3 linked regions of the Lytechinus pictus genome follow. The protein of the gene in region 3 purifies or fractionates together with the protein of the main gene of each other region. This does not show direct contact. Links are inferred from orthologs where the notes say so. Each region holds a gene or a part of one and is shown on either strand. Other genes may lie near its edges.

Region 1 (7,588 bases), on a different chromosome or scaffold from region 3:
TTTACAAAGGACATTTTGCAAATTTCCTGTAGAAAAATTATGACACAGATGGATTTCCATAGTTATGATTGATTGGATCAATCGTAAATCTTTGTAAGACGTGGCCCTGGCCTGATTATCACATGTACCATGGGTTTGGCCTGGTGATCTTACAGAGCACAAGCATTACAAGGAATCGATTCCGGCCAGGTACACATTTACCTCACCTGGGTTGAGTGCTACACAATGTAGAACAATGTCTTGCCGAAGGAAACTACGCCATGGCTGAGATTTGAACCCAGGACCCTCTGTTTCAGAGTCTGGAAACTAATCCACTGGGTCAACATGCTCCAATTGCTTGACTCTGTTCTTTATATAATTGCTGATTATGCCAAATAACTATTAATTTCAAGCATGGTGTCATGGCCGATGTTGGCATTGCCATAATCACTTCACAAACGCTTTGTATGCATAGAATCTTTTGTCATAAGCCCTACATTGACATAACACCCTTTGTCGAAAATTGGTGAATCAAAATAGCAGTGTCCTCCTGGACTCTTGACAAACGATATTCATGTATCTCCAACTTTTCGTCTGCTCCAAATCTTTGGACGATCTGCTTTCCCGATCCACCAACTTTCAACAAAAACTTCTCTGCTCTTCATAGTGACTTTATACTTGCATTTTTGAAAGAAATTAGTGCGTCATAGCACGCGTCTGTGTAGTGGGTGCAAAAAATTCTGACACCAACATCTGATTTCTCACACCATACTTCAAATCCCCCAAAACATCACTGTGAAACTCACTTTGGATTTATCCGCCTCAGCCTATCGCCTTGTACTATTTCATTGTAGGTGGCATCATAGCCTGTATATTCTATGACAAAAAACTGCAAGAGGAAACAAAATAAAGATTCCATTATTTCATATGCTTCATTTATCCCCCAAAAATCAAAACATTTGTAAATGGAGAATATTGCTGCATGAAAATTTAGATTACAATTACAATGTGTTAAATCGTTTAATGGACAAGTCCACCCCAACAAAAAGTGGATTTGAATAGATAGAGATAAATCCAATAAGCATTCGATCAGTCTTTGTTATTATTACTTATCTTTTTGATTGTCACATTTAAAATATATTCATTTACATACATATCTTTCCATATGAAGATGCTAAGTTATTACTCACTTATGAATAAAATGCAGAAACTCCTAAGAAGAAAGAAATATGCCATGAAATATGAAAGTAACTATATATCTTTCTTACCTCCCCTTTCACCATTTGTATTTTGGCTCTCCACCATCCGCAAGGTTCACCTTCAAATGACCTTGAATACACCTGAATAAAAAAAGAAGTTTTTATTTATTTATTCATTCATTTATTTCTTCTTTATTAGGGTGGCTCACTCGGTAATTTGAATACTGTTGTCCTTGGAGGCTCTTAAACAAAAATTGTGAATTCAATAGTGATTATGATATCACAAGAATGTACTCTTTTGTAGAAACTCAGGTCTTATTAATCCAAGGCAACTCTTTTGTAGAAACTCAGGTCTTATAAATCCAAAGCCACCAGGCCATGGCCTTGGGTGCCTTATTGGTTGGCCTCGATTCCCTGCTCAATGCGAGAAACAATTTTCTTAGTATGGCATTATTTGCAATACGCTCCATATTTTGTTATAAATGCTACACAAATATTCATTAGTGCAAAAATGTTTCACATAGGACTGTAAAGAACATCGTTGAAAGCATTCCTCTTCCAACCAAAAATGCTAATCAAAGTTGAAAAGTAAAATTATTCCCTCCATTGGATATGCTGAACATTATATATTAATGTGCTTTCTAGATAATAATAATAATAATAAAGGTATATTTACCCAGGGTAGCCACTTCAGTTCCGAAAACTTTTCTCCCAGCGGGCCCTGCTATTATTACCTGGCTAAGCTAGGCTACCTATTCGGTGCACACAGCTTTTCGAGGAATTACTTCCTGCCGGTACCCATTTACCTCACCTGGGTCGAGTGCAGCACACTGTGGATGAATTCCTTGCTGAAGGAAATTACGCCACGGCTGGGATTTGAACCCACAACCCTGTTTCAAAGTCCGGAGACTAATCCACTTGGCCACGACGCTCCACTCAGGATATGTGGCCTTGCCCAAAACTATCAAAGGGGGGGGGGGGTGTCTGCTTATAATGCAGATTTTTCACATGGTCTTTCCGTATCCTAAAAACAAAGGATTAATGTCAGGTGATTCCTACCTCGACCTCATCATCAGCCTTAAGTTCTAGCACTTCTCTTGATGCTTCTGGTGGAAGACGAACAACATTGATAGGAACTCTTCTCTCTGCTGTCCAACTAAAAACAATGACAAAACAAACAAATATTATGGAATGATTGTATGGAAAACATTTATTCATTATAGAATCCAATCTAATGGCTATTGAAAACTCAAACCTCCATCTAAATTGGTATATGATTGTGTACATGTAGGACCTCAAGAATGATTCATTGCTGATTTTAGTCTAAGTTTAAAATACATGTACATTTAGAACAAACTACATGAAGAGAAAGAACTCACAAAATCTTTCTAGATAATGATGACAATTATTATGAAAATAGCTCAATGATGATGGAGATGATGATGATGAAGATGATAATGATTACATGTACATGTATGATGGTGATAACACAGATGATCTGATGGCGTTCATGATGACGCTGATCTGATGAAGATGACGTTCATTATGACGTTCAGGATGATGACGATGGTGATGATGATGATGGTGATGATGAAGATGATGGTAATGATGATGTTGATAATCATAATGGTAATGATGGTGATGATGGTATAGACAACAATGATGGTGGTGGTGATGATGATGATGAAAATGACAATTTTTATGATGAAAATTATGTAAATTTATGTCACACTTGGTAGAGAGATTTAAAGAAAATGCATTTAAAAATAGAGCTCAACTTACTTGTTTTCAAATGCTATGCTCACTTCGTCTTCAAGTATATTTTTTAGCACTGCCTGTGGATTATACAAGAAAAACATTTGATGAATTTTCTTACACATTTGAGGAAAAATATTTTATATCAAAATATATATTTTATATATAAAAAATAAGGGTGAAATTGATGGATAGTCAAGGTGTAATGAAGGATAATGGAACAAATATACAACTAAAAAAAAAAGATATACAGAACTGTACGGTACATGAAAGATAATACTGTACAACGCAAAATTTTATTAACTCAAAGTAGTGCGAATATTAAGATTTCAAGTGAAATCTTATCCCTCCCTTTTCAATCTACCGTAATTGTAACTTAGACGAGACTCTGAATATACCCAACTTACCAAAAAGGGGTGAAAATGAAATAGAAAGAGAGTATAACATAGCCCTAAAACAATAGCACTACTTAAGTTACATGTACATGTAGATCTACATGTAATTTTTAAATTGCAAGATTACATGTAGATTTAATAGGGATACATGTACATTATAGGCTTGCTTAAAACAAAGACATCAAAAAGAATGCTCCAGCCTCATTACTGGCTAAATCATCATGCCATAAAAATTATATCATGAATAAATTACACCTGTCTAGTGTTGGCAAATTGAACAAAAGAAAAGCAATTATTGTCTGAGCTACCTTGCATTGTGCGAAGTTCACACCCATTATGTACATTATGTATGTACATTGCAGAGTGTGGGAATTCCTGACTGGGGGAATCCCCACTTCCTATGTACATTACACTGCAACATGATTGATGTACGGGAATGCAAATGAAGGAGAGGCAGTATAAACTAGGATTTCTTGCAAAATTACTCAGGAAGCTCAAGTGTTATGGTCTCAATGTTGCGCCATCCCAGTCTGCATGCCCTTGGCTTGTATCTAATTTCCTATTGCAAAAATTGCTTTATCTATGTCACTGAAGTACAGTGTGTAATACAGTACTGGGGAGCGTTTCATGAAAGGACTTGTAGTTGTCAGACGTTTTATCCGACAAGTACTGTTTTATCTGACAGTTACTATGGTAACAGTGCATCTCCACCAATCATAATCAAGGAAAAGTTGTCAGACCTGACAATTTTTGTCAGACAAAAATGTTGATGAAATGCTCCCCTGTACATGCACTCTTTCATAAAAAAAAAATCAAATGCACTGAAGTAAAACAGATACATGTAGTACTACATATGAAGGGCAAATACAATGTATGTACTGTACATGTTTTTTACTCTACATAACAGAGACAATGACATAATTTCATCTTCAGACATTCCAATGCAGTCTGGCGGTTCCTATTTCTGGATGCATTGCATGAGTCTTGAGGCATCCCCCTACAATCCCATCTGACAAAGATGGATCCACCGAGCCGAGGGGGTGAATTCTTTGTGATCGTCCATCATCTCTCAATGGGAATTGCGGAATGGAATCGGACCGACGATGAAAGGACAAAATGACCTCATGATCATAGGAAATCTCATCGTCGACCCTGTTCCAATTGGAGAGAAAGAGTGATGGACCCTGCATGTGAAAGTGCTATACAGGAGAGTTGATAGAAATATTTTGCCCACGGTGACACTCCAAACCAAGAACAGAGTCAAAAGCACAGATCTACAGAACAAAGTCCCGTTTGATAAAGACTTGTTCAATACCAAATGCACAATTTCTATAACAAATTCAATATCAGCTACATGTATTAGAGGAAAGGATTTTAATTCGTAGCTTATAACTGTTATTGTATTAACATTTGTAAATGATCACAAAATTCGATTTTGAGATAATTACAACTGGAGCTAATACTTGTACTATCCACCTACATGTATCCCCCTTGATCTATCCCTAATTCTCTCTCCTTCCGTCCTCTTCAAGCTCCCAATGCTATTCCCAAGTGGGAGAAATGTCAAAATGCTGGAGGAATGGAATTCTTTTCTTGAGAGTCAAGTACTATTGATGGACAGCTCATGTTGAGTCTGTCGGGTAAACACAATCCTTCACTTCTCTGATGATATCAAATAAAGGGCAAGTCCACCTCAACAAAAAGTTGATTTTGAAAATAAAAAGATAAAAATCCAACAAGCAAAGTACACTGAAAATTTCATCAAAATCGGATGTAAAATAAGAAAGTTATGACAATTTAAAGTTTCGCATAATTTCACAAAACGGTTTACATGTATGCACATCCTGGTCGGTATGCAAATGAGGAGACTGATGACATCATCCACTCACTAATTCTTTTGTATTTTATTGTATGAAATGTGAAATATTCCCATTTTCTCCTCATTGTCAAGTGAAACAACAAATAATTCCTCTCTGAAAATGTAGAATTTGCATTGTCTAATATATGGTTCAGTAAAGTTAGTCCTTATTGTCAAATCTGTAAAAAGAGATATATTGTGTAATTCAAACAATAAAAAACAACAGAAATAGTGAGTGAGGGACGTAATCGACTGTCTCATTTGCATGTCACTGAGTTGTGCAAATCACTGTTTTGTGAAAAATAAGTGAAACTTTAAAATGTCATAACTCTCTTACTTTACATCCGATTTTGATGAAATTTCAGCATTATGCTAGTTTGATTTTTCTCCATTTATTCAAATCAACATTTTTCTGGGGTGAACTTGACCTTTAACTATTAAGAGGACGGTTTATTTAATTTGTCTAATGCCAATTTGTCTAATTACCAACTCGTCTACTATCATTTGGTCTATCACCAATTTGTCCACTATCCACATGGTCTAATTGCCATTTCGTCACCTCACTATTTCATCTAATAACCAGTTGGCCCAATAGCCATTAATAGTCCACAATCCATTTGGTTTAATTGGAAAAATGTTAATTGGGCAAAACCAAGACGAACTGGTGATTAGACGAAGTGATGATTGGACCAAATGGATATTGGACCAATTGATTGTTAGACGAAATGTTGATGGACGGAATGGCTTGAGTGGACGAGTTTGCAGTGGATGAATTGGCAATTTACCTGGAAAAAATTACTTGGGGGCTCAGGGTGAATTTGCACCCAAAAAGCCTTGGAAGGGGGGGGGGGCATTTCCTAAGCAAATTAGCCCAGAGCCCCAATAATTGTTTCCCTTTCTACAGTTTTTTTAACATATCTGCAAGATGATTGCAATACACTATCCAAATATGTACAGTGAAGAGGATCCATGTTTGTCTCTTTTTGGCTGCGATGTGCTTGAACATAACGTACCCTGAGTGAGCGCCATGTCCTCGGCATTTACTCTTTCTTATCAGAGACTCTATCAGCTTCAAGACAACGATGGGGAAACCAATTTAAAAGAAGCATAAAATACTCAATGAACTGTATGCATGATGACTGAGCCTCAGACCATTATGCTATTAATCCTCTCAAAATTTATAAATTACGCATCTAGAGAATATGAAGAATAGACATAGTTGCAGACATCACGTACCCCAGGTTCGACCCCTCTAGTAAATTCTTTTTGTCAAAAAAAGAAACGATTGTTTGTCTTCATTCTTTTAAAGGTTAAAAGCCAGATTTCTAAAGAAAATATTTTGTTGCTCTTCTTTTGCATCTTCTGCAATAAAACTCACTGTAATGTGCTAGATTATATACACATGTATTTGAGTAATGAACTACATGTATGTCTGGTAATGTACATCATCAATACACTATGTTTTGTGCAGCAATAATCTTCTGTAATGTGTACATATACTACACATACATGTATGATATCTTCTGCAATGAACTACCAACATGTATCTGATGATTTTTTGCATGGTCAGCCCCCCACTTTCAAAACCGTTCCGCAGCCCCTGTTCTATACATGTACATCTTCTGTGAATATCTACAGTTAATAAATACCTACATTGTACATGAATCTTGTACTTTCTTCTGACATATCTTTCATGTAAAAATGCATGCAAGTTTGTTGCATATTGTTGAAAAACACTATGTATACATAATACATAATACATAAAGCATATTGATGTTGATACTGTGCACAACGTTGCCAGAACTGGCATAATTATGCTTTCTGGCATAATTTCGACCCTTTCAGCATAATTCATTATGCTGGTATAATTTTTGCATAATTAGACTTTTTTAAGCAAAGAATCTGGCATAATAATAGCATATTTAGCATAATTTTGATCGATTTTTTCCCCCCAAGTGTTGTTTTTCATTTTTCACATTCTACTAATGAACGGCGCCAGCACCGACAGAAGTGGGGGAAATCGTTCACATGCATGCATCCACTCCTAAAATTTAGGTTGATAACCTTTTTTTTTTTTTGCTTGTCAAAAAAAAAACGGTTTGGCATAATTTTTCGCGATTTAGCATAATTTCGCTGCTCCTCTGGCATAATTGGATTTTTTCACTGGCCACGCTGACTGTGCAAGAGCATGTGGTGTAGAAGTGCATACAGTAGTATGACATCTGCATCTAAATAGAGCTACATGTATGCTGTATTGCATTTGTACTGTCATCTTTTCAGCATGCAGTCATAGCCAAGCCAAGTCGACAGGCTTGTTGATAAACATGAGCATGTGTAGTACACAACACATGCAGTGTCACTGCATGGCAATAGTGTATTCAGGATGAGAGGCTGATGAAACT
Region 2 (7,023 bases), on a different chromosome or scaffold from region 3:
TGATAGCTGAAAGCTTCAAAACATGGACTCGAATGCGAGTTTTTCGGTGAGTACCATTTCAATTATACTAAAATCAAGCTAAGTATAATTTCAAAATGTTACAGTAGAAGTTTAAACGAGTATGATTATTGAAATATGATTGAAAAGCCGTTGCATGGCTCGGTCGACGACGCGACTGCAAGACACGTGGCACTGCCAGTTGTGTGCACATAGTAGGAACATATACAATGCATATGTTGGCGGTCGATCCGGCCGCGTTCAGCGATTTGCGAAACTGCTTACAAGCGAGAGTTGAGCGCGACGGACGCACGAACCAAGAGATCGTTCTACGTCGTAGATAGCGTCGTACGACGCTGGGCGAAAACGCGCTATTAAACGTTAAGGCCTGGGATGATGGGAATGCCTGTCTGCCACTGGATTTGTCATGATTCAACCAAGATAAAATAATGGAAACTGAATCTGCACATCCTGCATGTGCCATGTAGCAAAGTCAACAGCTCCTGTACACATTTACGATTTCACCCCACCATGGATCAACATTGGACAATGATCGGCAAGGGATGTCAAATTAAATGTTTGAAACAGAATTTCTAAGCAACAGAACATTTTCTATCACAATCATTTTGCACAAAAGTTCTAGAACGATTGAAGGCGATACCATCTTCCGAATGTCTGGGCTGTATCCTAATCATTGATCAAAACATCAAATCTGATCGCTAAAGCTGCAGTCGGTAGCAAAAAAAAATCCTTGGTTGATTAAAGGGGAAGGTCACCATGACAAAAAGTTTATTTTAAAAATAGCAGAAAAATAATCAAAAATATTGGTGATGGTTTGAGGAAAATGCTTCAAAGATCTAAAAAGTTATTAGAATTTGTTTTTTCTTATTTGTGACCACTCACACGTATTGCGAGGTTAGTATACTAACCTCGCACCATGAACCGCGTTTGGCAGTGAATTTCGAACTAGTGGGTCGCGCGTGCTGCGATCCCACTTCTGGTGTCCACAACACAAGACTTCTATGGCTTGATTTTTCTGTGCACGGCGGCATGTAATGAACCCTTGAGTGATTTGTGACAAACGCGAGCAGCTTCCTATGTATCGTGATTTTAAAATCAGTGAAATGTCATTTGCTCAAAAAGTTGAAAATGGGTTTTATTGTATAACGTGTCGCATTGCCAATGGAGGATCTCCATAGCATTAGTGATCGCAATATTCAAATGCTCATAACTTTCTTATTATTTGTCCGACTTTTCTCAAACTTTCTTTGATATTATTCTTTGATTTTTCTGTTTCCACAAAAGCCAACTTGTTCCAAAGGTTTCATTCCCCTTTGATAAATTAGAATTTATGTATGTACATGAATGGCCTGGGCAGCTGCTGGTAGAATCCTACAGTAGAGGCGCACGGCCAATATGGGAGACTCTCTCCAATAGGGGAGACAATCTCCCACATTGGAGACTTGCTTTGCAAAAGGACAAAAGAAACAACACCAACAAAAGTATGATTTTTTCCACCAAAAATTTTGTCTCACTGAGGTCAGAAGCCCATTTGTTTTGTGTGTGATTGACAACAAAATTCCTTATCAAAATAAAACTTAAAAGTAGACGGTGAATTTTTAAAGTAGATGGTGAAAAGGGGTAATTTTTCATGAGGAATCTGCTTATCACATTTTTATTTGCCGCCAAGGTAATCCTTTTGCAGCAAATGTAAACAAAGGAAATTGGACTCCAAAACTGGAGACTGTCTCTGAAATTGGATACCCAAATTCTTTACAAAAGTCTCTGATATTGGAGATAATCTCCCACATTGGAGACAGTCTCCAATATTGGCCGTGCGCCTCTACTCTCCTATGACGTCATGAATCAAAATCTTTAAATTCAAGTAAATTTCAATCTTTAGATCTAATGGATTTTCCTCAAAGTCGAACCTTCTTCCCTTCATCAATATTTTTTTTGGGGTATTTTTACATCAAACTTTTCATCAGGCTTGGGGTGAACTTCACCTTAACTCTTCAACAAGACTTTTTCTGTGTTGAGAATATAATTTGAAATAATCAACATCAGTCCAATGTTAGGTGTGTATATTTACCCCCCCCCCTCTTTATAACATTATAAAAGCCATCTTGTCTTCAAGACCCCACCCCCCCCCCCCCCAAAAAAAAAAAAAAATTGTCTGACCTGAGAAGCCTCTTTCTGCCCGGCCTGGCAGTTACTTCCAGTGGCACTGACAAAGTGAGATTCAGTCAAGTAGATTTCTATTAGTATTAGTTCTAGGTCTAAACTCTAATTTCAAAGGTTATTTATCATGTTTATCTAGAAATTACAGGAAATCATTATGAGTTATAAAGCAGTTAGAATTCTGAACTTGATAATAATATTGATGATAAAGATTAAAGGCCAGGACCATGACATGGCAATGACATTGTCATTGCACCGCAGTGACAAATGCAAATGCAGCAGGCATCATGCAACGGTGCCCTGCACCGTACGTCGCGGCTACAGTCCCGTGATCCACAGTGCCATGTCCCACTCACTCTCACGTGAAGTCATTTCATTCATTGTATGGAAGATGTAAATTGGGCCAGAAAAAATGAATTAAAGCAAATCATGACTACAAACAGGAAAGGAATATATATTAGCATATCATACACCTTTTAATACCAGAGGTTAATAATCATACATCATTTTAAGTATTAAATTGCACCTTTGGAAAGATCAGGAAGGAAATCATTCGACATAAAATTCGACGCACATCATGCAACACCGGCACAATCATGAAAACGTGCATTTCACACCATAACAATGGTAAAATAAAACAAAATCACCAAACTCACCTTGCACAAGTAGAATAATTTCCTGTCCCTCGTGAAACCCTATTTTTTCATCGGTATTTGGAATTATGCTGCTTCCTTACAATCAAAAACCGAAAAAAATATTAAAATGGGGCTCATGAAATTCGGGCAATATTGTTGCACATGTATTCACAGTGCGCAAACTGAACTGATTTCACAGTTTCTCTGCGCACAATTTCCCTGAGAGTCAGGCGGGAAACCCGACAGACCCTGCGCGATCTCATAATGGGCCATGCAAGAGCACAAATCGGAGTTGGAATGATTTCCACACCATATACAAAGACCCAAGTTAAAAATGACGTAATTTCCTGAAAAAGTGAGGCGTAGTAAATAAACAAAGAAGATCAAGTAAGAAGTAAACAATGGATAGGAAATTGATAATTCGTGACTTAATTACATTGTCACCGGTACAACTTTTACCCCAACAACTAGATAAATATGCAGCAAGCTGAAAAAGTGGAAATCCATGTCGAATTTCAACAAAATCGAAATCGGATTCTGAGAGGCTTTTAAGTGACCCCAACCCACCCTTTTTTCTTTGGTGGTAATTTCTTCGTATACTTCTTTATGGAATCTAAGGCTTGATCAACGTTCCTCTTGGTAATTGGTGGTAATTGCCCTGGTGGTAATGGGGGCAAATAGGCAGGGGCTAGTGTACGTAGGCCTAGTACGCAGATCATTATTTAGATGGAAAAGAAGAAGAAGAAGAAAGTAGAAGGGAAAAATTTATTCTTCTTCGATCCGTATTGTTATTATCATTATTGTTGTTGTTACTATGATTATTAAAATGATATAGCCTGGTGTTGTGCCTATTGTAATCATTCGTTGGGAGAGGGGCAAAGCAAATTTCCCGGCCCCCTCAAAATTCGAAAAGCAGGGGGTCGATCCCGGCCCTATATAAAAACCAAAATTTAATTCACAAAATCGCCGAACATATACCCTCTCGCTAGGGAAGTTTTTAAAGGACAAGTCCACCCCATCAAAAAGTTGATTTGAATAAAAAGAGAAAAATCCAACAAGCATAACGCTGAAAATTTCATCAAAATCGGATGTATTATATGAAAGTTATGACATTTTTAAGTTTCGGTCAATTTCACAAAACAGTTATATGCACATACCGGTTGGTATGCAAATGAGGGAACTGATGACAGTGATCACTCACTCACTATTTCTTTTGTATTTTATTATATGAATTATTCTAATTTTCTCCCCATTGTCCTGTGAAACAAAGTTTATTTCTCCCTGAACATGTGGAATTAACCATAATATTTCATGGTTCAGTCAAGTTGCTCCTTATTGTCAAATCTATAAAAATTTAAATATTGTAGGCCCTATAATTCAAACAATAAAAAAATAGAAATAGTGAGTGAGAGACATCATCGATTCTCCCATTTGCAAGTGACTAAATTGTGCATATAACTATTTTGTGGAAAATAAGCGAAACCGTTCAAAAATGTCATGAACTTTCTTATTTTACATCCGATAAATTTTCAGCATAGTGCTTGTCTGATTGTTCTCTATTGATTCAAATCAACGTTTTTTTTTCAGGTGGACTTGACCTTTATTATGTAGTCGGTGGCTACACGGGACAGCAGCTGGAGGGCTAGATTTTTTTTTATCCCGGCGGTATGGCGACTGATCAGTTGATTTTGACGATTGATCACAATTAATACACAATAATCTATGTATTTAAAGAGCTTCAAACTGATGAATAATGTATTCAATTACAGAAATCAGCCATAAGGTCGATATAAGCTATATTGTAACCGGTTGTGTCTATATGCAGTGCGTATCAAAAAAAGGTTTACACTTAGAAAAAATCCTGTAAAATTATACAAATTTTGTAATATCCTGAAGATTTTTCCACAATTTAACTTTGGTACGGATCCATTTAAGCAAATGACGATAAAATTATGACTGTCGAAAAATATTTCCGCTTGAGTGAGCATTACTTACTTTTGAAAAGTTAGTGAAAAATGATTTGCGCAGAACTTTGAAATAGTTATGCGAATAAAAGTAGACCTTAATCATGAATAACACGTGGAATTTAGCTAGTAATATTTTGAAGATATCTTTTACCTTTTTTTAACTTGTTTCCTTGCCCAAACCACTTTGAGGAGTGCATTGCGCCCACTAGCGTACCTAAGGGGGGGGGGGGGGGAGGGGCAGACTACCCCCCTGACCGACGAGTCACAACTCATGCAAAGGACGTATCCCTGCCCCCCCTGACGAGTCAAAACTGATCCCTGACGAGCCACAAGTGGCCCCCTCCTTTGAACTTGAAGACCTTTTTTTTTTTGCTTGTCAAATTTTTTTCTGGTGCGAAATGTCCTTTACTTGTGGTTGAAGACCTTTTTTTTTTTTTGCTTGTCAATTTATTTATGGTGCGAAATGTCCTTTACTTGTGGTTGAAGACCTTTCTTTTTTTTTTGCTTGTCAAATTTTTTGGCGGACGAATTTGCCCCCACCTTTGGAAAATCCTAGGTACGCCACTGATTGCGCTCCACCCCACCACACATCGAGGCCATTGTGACGATATTTGCTTTATACTTGATTTACATAAAATGGCTGAGGCTTGATTTTCATTTTGTTAATTATTTTCAAGCTTGGGAAAAGTGTGGAGAAACAAGTGTTAAATTTAAAAAAATATATAAACCCACTTTAAATGATAAAAACTTAGTAAAAAATGCTAGAGATGTCTGGTATAAACTTTTGTTCAGATCCAGTTATGTCCTCAGATCCAGCTGACACAAAAAGGGTAAAGGTTGTGTTTACTAAGTGTTGAAATATCAATTTGGGTGGCAAAATTGTTAGAAAATGTATACGTTTTATTTCAATTGACTAAAAGTGCAAGGGAAATGAATGAGAAATGTTTCGCAGGGTAAGTTTTGATTTCGCCCTTTCCCCTTGACACAGCGTACAAACGAGCATTTCTGCGCAAACAGATTTCTGCGAGCTTTACAAAAAAGGACAGTGCTCACTCAAGTGTAACATTCTGTCAAAACTTTTACTTTCATTGGATAAATGAGACCCAAACCCAAGATTATATGTGAAAAAAATTACCCACACGTTGTATATTTTCTAATTCCCAGGGCTTTTTCAAAGTGTAAACTGTTTTTTGATACGCACTGTAGAGGGGTATCCTTCCACTCATTATCCCGGCCCAAAATTTCCAGAGTTTCGGTACTAAAAAAAGTAATAAAAACGAGAAAAATTGTCAGTACTATACTGGTCGTACATTTATGCTCAAGTTGATTGTCATCTTGCCTCTACTTGCGCTTTTTATTGAGGGGAGGGGGTGGGGGGCTATAGCCCCAAATACTTTAAAAGAATATGAGAATGCTGCATGCAGCTCCACCTTTTTTTTAGCAGCTACCTCCATTCCCACCCTATTTTGTATGGAAATCTTGCCATTGTACGTAGAGAAATTTGCTTCATATACGAAACAAACAAAAAACACAGTCGTTGGAAATTGAAATAAAATTAATTCTAGCGGCTCCAAAAACAATAAGAAGGCCGACATAATTATGAGACACAACTATACTGACGTCGAATTCTTTTTTTTTTTTTTTTTGGGGGGGGGGTTGGCATGGGTGTCAGGCAGGGGGACACGCCTGAATGTATATATCGTTATTTATTTATTCATCTATCTATATATCAGTGGCGTAACAGGCGGGGGGGGGGGCAGGGGGGGCAAGCTGCCCCCTGGCGGATTTCACCGGGAAAATAAAAAAAAACGGGAAAAAGAGGAAAGGGAGGGAGAAAGAAAGGGAAAGGGAATAGGAAAGGGGAAAAGGAAAGGAGGAAAAGGAGAGGAAAAGGGAAAAGAAAACGCCAACAGAATAGGAAGGAAGGACAGCGGGAAAAGGAACGAAAGAAGAACATTTATTTTGAGGAAGGATAAATCATTCCGAAAATAATGCAATAGCGTGATGGGAAATAAATTAAAAGATGACAAAATGGCAAACAATAGCGGGAAATGAAGTTAGAATGGAATTAGTCAAAAGCTAAATTGGAAAACGAAGAAAAGGGACAAGAAAAATAAAACACTTAATAACACGACCTGGCTGCATGCCGATGATTGAAAATAAAGAGCGGGAAGAAAGTTGGACTGCATACAACATTGTGCAATAAGCTTGCTAAATTTTATTCAAATAAGATATCGGGGCTT
Region 3 (7,790 bases):
TTGAGCCCCTGTAGTCTGTACAGACGAAGGTTTAACTTCGGTCAATGTATTTGGTGAGTGGAGCCAACGTAGTCCAGCGGAACAACCAACATAACAGAGACCGAAGCTTTTTTTGGTCTAGACTGGCACTTGCCTAACCAAACCAGGGAGCTCCCCTGAGCCCAGGGGCTTACCGTGTAATTCACCATACCCACGGTAGTAGCGTGAAGTATGGTCTAAATAATTTTAAGAATAAATAGTTAAAACAGAAATTAAGCACTTACCACGATTATACGGATGAAGGTCTAACGAGTGGCAGCTTCCTGACATCGAGGCACAGACTGGAACCTCAAAAAACGAAAAGTTCTGTCGCGGTAGCTCTCCTTCTTTCAGAATTCATAGCAAAATGGCCGTTCGAGACCGGTACCGAGGGTGTAGGGCGCATGCACGAATTTGACAAAGTCTATATGCGCTAGTGCTATATAGCCTCGGTCTCGATCGGCCATTTTGTTTTGAATTCTGAAAGAAGGAGAGCTACCGCGACGGAACTTTTCGTTTTTTGAGGTTCCCGTCTGTGCCTCGATGTCAGGAAGCTGCCACTCGTTAGACCTTCATCCATATAATCGTGGTAAGTGCTTAATTTCTGTTTTAACTATTTATTCTTAAAATTATTTAGACCATACTTCATGCTACTACCGTGGGTATGGTGAATTACACGGTAAGCCCCTGGGCTCCGGCCCGCGCAGCGGGCCGGAGCCCCCTGGGTTAGCACTTGCCATGCCCACACGTCCCATGGCCAAGAGTTGACATTTTGTCATTTGCTTACATTACAATACGGTCATTACTACTATAGACTAGGGGCCTGTTGCACGACGAGATGAGCGATACCTAGGAACGTCCTAGGACCATTCTTCCGAGATAGGAAGATTGGCGACAAATCAGCGCTTTCCAAATCACGAAGGCAATTTTATCTTTCAAGTCCGCGACATCGTTTGATATCGATAGTATCGGAAAAATATTTAGTCTTCATCGTCACCTGAACCTTTTATTTCGGAATGACGATTTTTCATAAAATCATATTTTTCAATAAAAGGGGGTCAAATAATGTTTTATCTAATACTGATTGTAGAATTGATGTATGGAGCGTACTTTATGAGGTAAAAAGAGAAAAAACTTTCAAGATTCACAAACATAACTTGATAAAATCGAAATTTTCATTATTTCCCTTATTTAGAACACAGTGTCCTTTTAGAGACACCTTTCATTGATATTTCAACGAAGAGACCTTTTCCGACATAAAAATTGATTTAACTAAGTAATTTCGACATTCTATTAGTTCAATATACTGATTTTTTATAGAATACATATATATAATGATGATTTTGCAAATTATCCGTTAATATGTTATCTGTTGAGGTAAAAATAGGGTTTGAATGAAGTAAACAAAATCAACAGTGTCTGATTGTATGAGACTAAAGAGGAAAATATGAGAGGCTGCCTGTGTAAAATCTAATTTATTTATTTTATTTGTCAGATATAACGCAAGAAATACAAATGTGAGTGTTTAGAGTATAAACATACCTCAGTTGCATGATAAGTAACCGAAGACAAGGAAAATATGAAAATTGCTGCAAACATGTCCAAGTGGATAAAGTAGTGCTTTGCAATAACAATTAAAACATAGAAAAGGTGTGCAATCCGCAATGGAAAAAATACTATTTACAGAAATAATGCTAAATATTACAATGATCATAAACGTTGGTCATCTTTAAAGTTGATCACTTAATTTATGGAAGCTTATATAAGAATATAAAAAATATATATGTTCAACATTTCAAAGTTGAGGAGTATAGAGACTACATTATTGCTTTAACATTAGGCCTACATAGGGGCCGAAAGGGGCCTACCCTACGATTTAAAATGCGCCTCTTCGTATGGACTTCCCATAATCTTTTCTTTAATGAACTAGCTTATCTTCATTTGTAATAATTGTGATGGATTCGTAAGCTATAGGCCTAATCTGTATCTTAGATTCAATTAGCTATTTTGTTACTGCAGATTTTTTGTTTTGTTTCACTGTTTCAGATCTCAAGTTAGCCCAAATCCCACAATTAATTTTCATTGATTAAAATTAATCTCAGCAAAAAAAATAATTATAATGAAAATGAAATAAAAGTAAATGAATGATTTACCATGTTTAACATTTTAGTTTTGTATCGTGTTTTTTTTTTTGCTGAACGTTATAAACACTTTTTTTACCACATAATTTCTTTTAAAGAAATTTGTTTTCATGTTGTTTATTCAATTATCTACACTTGAGAAAGCATGAGGGGTCAGAGATAGTGCCGCCCATTTTGTTATTTAAAAAAAAATTAATGGAAATGGTATGGGGATAGGACGGAGAATAAAAGAAAAAAAATAAAAAAAAAATATTTGGGCCTACATTAGGCCCGGACATAATGCCCGGAGGAGTTAAAATGACATCTGTTTTTGGTCGTCTTACCGTGCAAAAAGACGACCTGAAATTGATGACAAATAGCCCCCATATAAAAAATAACTTGGTGCCATCCCAGATAAAATGCATCAGTGTGCAACCCAAAAAAATGTTTGAAGGTGATATGTCTGCGTAGCTTGCCGTAAACGCATTTTCTCTCAATGCCGACGGTGGCGGGCGGTGTGCAAAGAAGATCATGCCTACGTAGGACATGTCTGGAGGTGTCTTTCCAAGGACCATTCTTCGTATCGCTTTGTGAAACAGTAGTTGAGCGATATCTCGTTCTTAGTCTTACGTAGAAATTAGAATGGTTCTAACTTCTACTAGTCTACAAAAGACCCTTCAAGTTTCATGCAACAGGCCCCTGCCCCTGGCCTATTCATAATTCTGGCATGTCTAGACTCTAGTGGGGAAATTTGCCCGAAATCAGCCGGTGCAAAAAAGTATTAGTCTATATAACCCAAACAATTCTTACACTCAACGAGACTCTAAATTACATCAATTCGCGAACCTCAACGTCAACCCAATCAACACCAGTCAACATGCATGCACGACTCGCATCCTCACGGAACCAATTCCATTCGTGTACGTGTACATGTACGTTTCGCATACACGCATTCACCATGCACGCTCTACACACACAGAATGAACAATAACAATGTGATAAAAAATGTCGCGTGCAAGACAAAAATTAAATCCGATTCCCTCAATTAAACATTGAAAATTTATTTTATCAATGGCAAAAATTAGTGCTTTAATTATTTCTCCATAAGGATAGCTATTTCTATTATTCATAAACACTTTTTAAAAAGTACTTTTCAATAAATTATCTCGCAATACTTACTAAGTTTACGTTACCTTTCTCACAAAATTGAGATCCGATGGTTCACAAAGCCGGAGTCACGTGACTAAGGGCAAAAATATTTCGCGGCGACCAGACAAGTACTTCCGGGAAAATCTAATGTATGAGTAGGGGGAGGGGGAACAAAATTCAGCCGACTTTATCATTTGAATACAAATTACAATGTATTTCAAATGAAGTACCGGTTACTATTTAAGTTTTGTATATATCTTATTTTATATAATGCAATAATGTACACTTTATCTTTTGTGACTCTATAATCATTTGATAATGATCTTTGAGAATGAAGGTTTATACCCTCTCTTATAATCGAATAAACTTAAATTGGGACATTTAACTTTCAATCGGGCTAGCTGTACACAGGGCTGCAGTACATGCAGTAGGCTAGCTAGTATACGCTATATATATATTGTAAGCCTATAGTGAATAATAATATAGTCAGCTGTGTTACGTCTTACGATCTTGAACTTGTACAAGCCTAAGGTATGTACAGTAAGTTTAATCATCCCACATTTCCCTAGGGGCCTAATAATAAGTTTTACTCACTTGCATTCATGATAGTTTACTAGAATTTTATTAGATTTTAGACCCCATCATTCTTTATTATCATGACATCATTGCCATCAGGCATCATCATCATCATTCATCATCATCGACATCATCATCATTCATCATCGACATCATTCATCATCATTATCATCATTATCTTCTTTATCATCATCATCATCATATTAGAAATTAGGAATTAAGCCTGAGCGGGTTTAAAAGATAAAAGATTCAGAACGATATAATTATAAAGTATATTTATCACTGTGTTTCATTTCAGATACGCTTTGTTACACTATTATGAGTATTATGCTATAGCCTGCCCTGAGAAGACTTGATTATGGAAGGATCTGAACTCATTAATAGACCATTCTTGGACCTGCATGGAGCTAATGAACTCCTTACCAAGCTTTATAATATCCAAGCTTCAAACCTAGAAGAACTGAAAAGTTTTACAGACCAAAATTTCTACATCGGATTAGAAAGTCCCATCGATATAGACTGTGGCAGTGGGGATGAGAAATGTGATCAGTTCATTCTAAAGGTATTTCAAGGAACCGCTTTTTCTTTCAAAAACCCATTTTAATATGTCTTACATAACATACATACATGGAATTATTAATGCTAATTTTATCACGAACTATCACAATTTACCCCTATATTTTGTTTGTTTCCTTTCATGTTAACTGTACATGTATTCTCTGAACTTCTATCACAGGAAAAAAAGTCTTGACATTCCTAAAGTATAAGATAATTTCTCATAACACAAGTAAAAAGCTTAGTTGTCATTTAAATCACTTCATCTTTTGATTATTAAAGTATCTTCTTGATACTTTTTAAAAATTGTATGCCTAAGTGTACTCCTTCATTTCATCAAAACAAACTTACCTACATGTAGCATGGAATAGAATGCCAAAGATCTTTAAACTATGATTATTATTTTAAAGGCCAACAGTTGATGCTTAATATTGCTTGGTTGACAAATCCAAGTTATACTATAAATGTACCAACTCATTTCCTTAAATAGTTGTACAACTCCAAAGATTCTGCAGATGGAAACAGGGTGGAGTTGGCGGTCAACACCATGGCATTCCTGTCCAATAAAGAGTTTTGCTGCCCTCGCCCAGTCCGTAATATATATGGCAAACTTGTTCATCTTGAGGCTATCTCTTGTAATGACGGAAATGGAAAGGGTAAGATGATTCTATTCAATTTTACACTGGACGTAGACCGATAAATATGTCTATTTCTGTCAGGGATATGCTCCGCTGAGACTTGGTCTGTCTCTGCGGTATCCCCTCCATCAATAGACCGATAATGGCCATTGGGCTCGTAATGGCAGAGGTTTGACCGACGCTTAACTACAGCGTCTCTGGAGAAAAGGTTGCCAGCGCACCCTCTTCGATTACTCCGTAATTCCCCCTTTTGACAGAGAAAACAAAGCGTTTGAATAAAAATTATTATTTTAACTAAACAATCAGCATACCAGTTTCTTGAAATGTATGATTTGATATCCAAAAATTAAATTCCAAAGAGCCGCTGTACGGTTCCAATGATCGATAGTTGCTTTTACAGCTTGCAGCATACGAATATGCCAGCCAATCATGTTCATGTTACCATTTTCAGTTTATGATGAACTTAAAATGGTAACATGAATATGATTGGCTGGTGCATTCTGGTAGTCTGTTCGAAAATGTTAAAGGTTTTTGTTCAACTTGCTCTCATTTCAATATTTTTGCATCACCTTTATCAAAGGTATAAGTATCCAATAGGATTTGAATAAAAATGTTAGAGCAACCTATTCTAAAACAATATGCCTGTCAAAGCAAAGATCATTTGCCAATCTTTGTCTAAGCCTCAACTTAATTACTGCCATTGTAACAAGTACTACAAACCTTCTATTGATTGTACATGACTTTGGTATTATATATGATGCCTAAATTTAGATCTGCTTGGATATTTTCAGGTTTTGTTGGAAAACATGGTGTGTATATGGTAACTCTTTTGTCATTCTTGCCTGGTCAACCTCTTGGGTCATTGAACACTCTTCCAGATGAGATCTTGGTAGATATTGGCAAAAAACTTGCTCACCTGCACAAGATTTTAGAGGTATAGTGGAATTATCAAATATCAATGAACTTTAAGCGCATCATGTACGTTCATATTAAAGTTACCTTGGATATCTGCTAATATTGTCAAAGCTCTCAAAGCCTTTTTTATTGATATTTTTTAATTATAAAAAGCTATCATCGTATATTTACAATAAACGGCACCCCAAACACCATCTGACCATGAAATATTGATACAATGTGATAATGTAATTAATCAAACTTTCATTACTTGTAATGATAATGTTGCTGTAATTTGGGCATTCTAACCTATGTATGATGTTGTTTATCCCTACATATCTCAATTATCTTGGGTGAATTTAAGTAGTTTGCTGAAAAAAATAATTATGATAAAATGATTTTTAAATGCAAATGAAGTAAATAGTCAAGAGGAAAATAATTGGATAATAAACAGAAATAAGTGGGTATGGAACCTCCTAATATCATTTATGTTTCTCCACTTTTTTCTAAATGCTAAATGAACACACTTTAGTTATAACCTGATATTCGTTTTGTATTATTTTCAATCAGGCGTCCCTTGATGGTTTTTGTAATGAAGATCGAAACCTTCAAAGGTTGGTAAAGGTACTACTAAACCATTCCATGTTATTGATTTCTTTCTTGAACTATAACTGTAGATCTATCTATCTATCTATCTACCTTTCTATCTATCTATCCATCCATCCATCCATCTACCTACCTTTCTATCTACCTTTCTATCTATCTACCTTCCGATCCATCCATCCATCCATGTTGTATTTTGTATTTATCCAGTCACTTATCTATAATTCATTTATATTCATATTATATACATACATGTATGTGTGTTCAATTATTTATTCATAATTCGTTAATTTTTAGTTTTTTATTTATTAATATTATTGATATGCAAATTCATGGAAAATGACAGCATAACTTAGAAAGTATATGGACCTAGTTCATGAAACTTGGCCATAAGGTTAATCAAGTATTAGTGAACATCCTGCCTGAGTTTCATGTCAAGGTCAAAGGTCATTTAGGGTCAATGAACTTAGACCATTTTGGGGGAATCAACATCAAAATCTTAACCTAAGGTTAAGTTTTTGAAATGTCATCATTATAACTTAGAAAATATATGTACCTAGTTCATGAAACTTAGACATAAGATTAATCAAGTATTACTAAACATCCTGCATGAGTTTCACGTCACATGACCATGGTCAAAGGTCATTTAGGGTCAATGAACTTTGGCCAAATTTGGGGTATTTGTTGAATTACCATCATAACTTTGAAGGTATATTGGTCTAGTTCATAAAACTTGGACATAAGAGTAATCAAGTATCACTGAACATCCTGTGCGCATTTCAGGTCACATGACCAAGGTCAAAGGTCAATAAACTTTGGCCATAATGGGGGAATCTGTTGAATTACCATCATAACTTTGAAAGTTTATGGATCTGACTCATGAAACTTGGACATAAGAGTAATCAAGTATCACTGAACATCCTGTGCGAGTTTCAGGTCACATGATCCAGGTCACATGATCAAGGTCATGTAAGGTCAATGAACTTTGGCCATGTTGGTTTTTTGTTGTTGAATTACCATCATATCTCTGTAAGTGTATTGGTCTAGATCATAAAACGTGGACATAAGAGTAACCAAGTATCACTGAACATCTTGTGCGAGTTTCAGGTCACATTACCAAGGTCAAAGGTCAATGGATATTGGCCATGTTGGGGGTATTTGTTGAATTACCATCATAACTCTGTAAGTATATTGGTCTAGTTCATAAAACTGAGACATAAGAGTCGTCAAGTATCAC

What was found.
Region 1: the proteins of ubiquitin-associated protein 2-like (region 3) and RNA-binding protein FXR1-like purify together in Drosophila melanogaster (affinity purification with western blotting; 3 studies listed by BioGRID, with this or other methods). This does not show direct contact. The link is inferred for Lytechinus pictus from reciprocal best matches to the Drosophila melanogaster genes lig and Fmr1.
Region 2: the proteins of ubiquitin-associated protein 2-like (region 3) and ras GTPase-activating protein-binding protein 2-like purify together in Drosophila melanogaster (affinity purification with western blotting; 3 studies listed by BioGRID, with this or other methods). This does not show direct contact. The link is inferred for Lytechinus pictus from reciprocal best matches to the Drosophila melanogaster genes lig and rin.

Annotation. Positions count from the first base shown.
Region 1 is NC_087260.1:10,215,051-10,222,638, reverse strand, and holds the start of RNA-binding protein FXR1-like, read right to left. Parts: upstream 3,046-7,588; 5' UTR 3,038-3,045; coding exon 2,961-3,037; intron 2,335-2,960; coding exon 2,238-2,334; intron 1,320-2,237; coding exon 1,248-1,319; intron 869-1,247; coding exon 786-868; intron 1-785. UniProt on the Drosophila melanogaster protein: Polyribosome-associated RNA-binding protein that plays a role in neuronal development and synaptic plasticity through the regulation of protein synthesis of mRNAs.
Region 2 is NC_087262.1:16,239,868-16,246,890, forward strand, and holds the start of ras GTPase-activating protein-binding protein 2-like, read right to left. Parts: upstream 3,113-7,023; 5' UTR 2,835-3,112; intron 2,785-2,834; exon of another isoform or gene 2,705-2,784; intron 1-2,704.
Region 3 is NW_026974140.1:6,702,763-6,710,552, forward strand, and holds the start of ubiquitin-associated protein 2-like, read right to left. Parts: upstream 3,033-7,790; 5' UTR 3,018-3,032; coding exon 2,985-3,017; exon of another isoform or gene 2,949-2,984; intron 1-2,948. Other genes in the region: hydroxylysine kinase-like, read left to right, coding at 4,222-4,425, 4,909-5,074, 5,848-5,990, 6,521-6,574. UniProt on the Drosophila melanogaster protein: Acts in the nervous system to mediate the control of copulatory organs during courtship.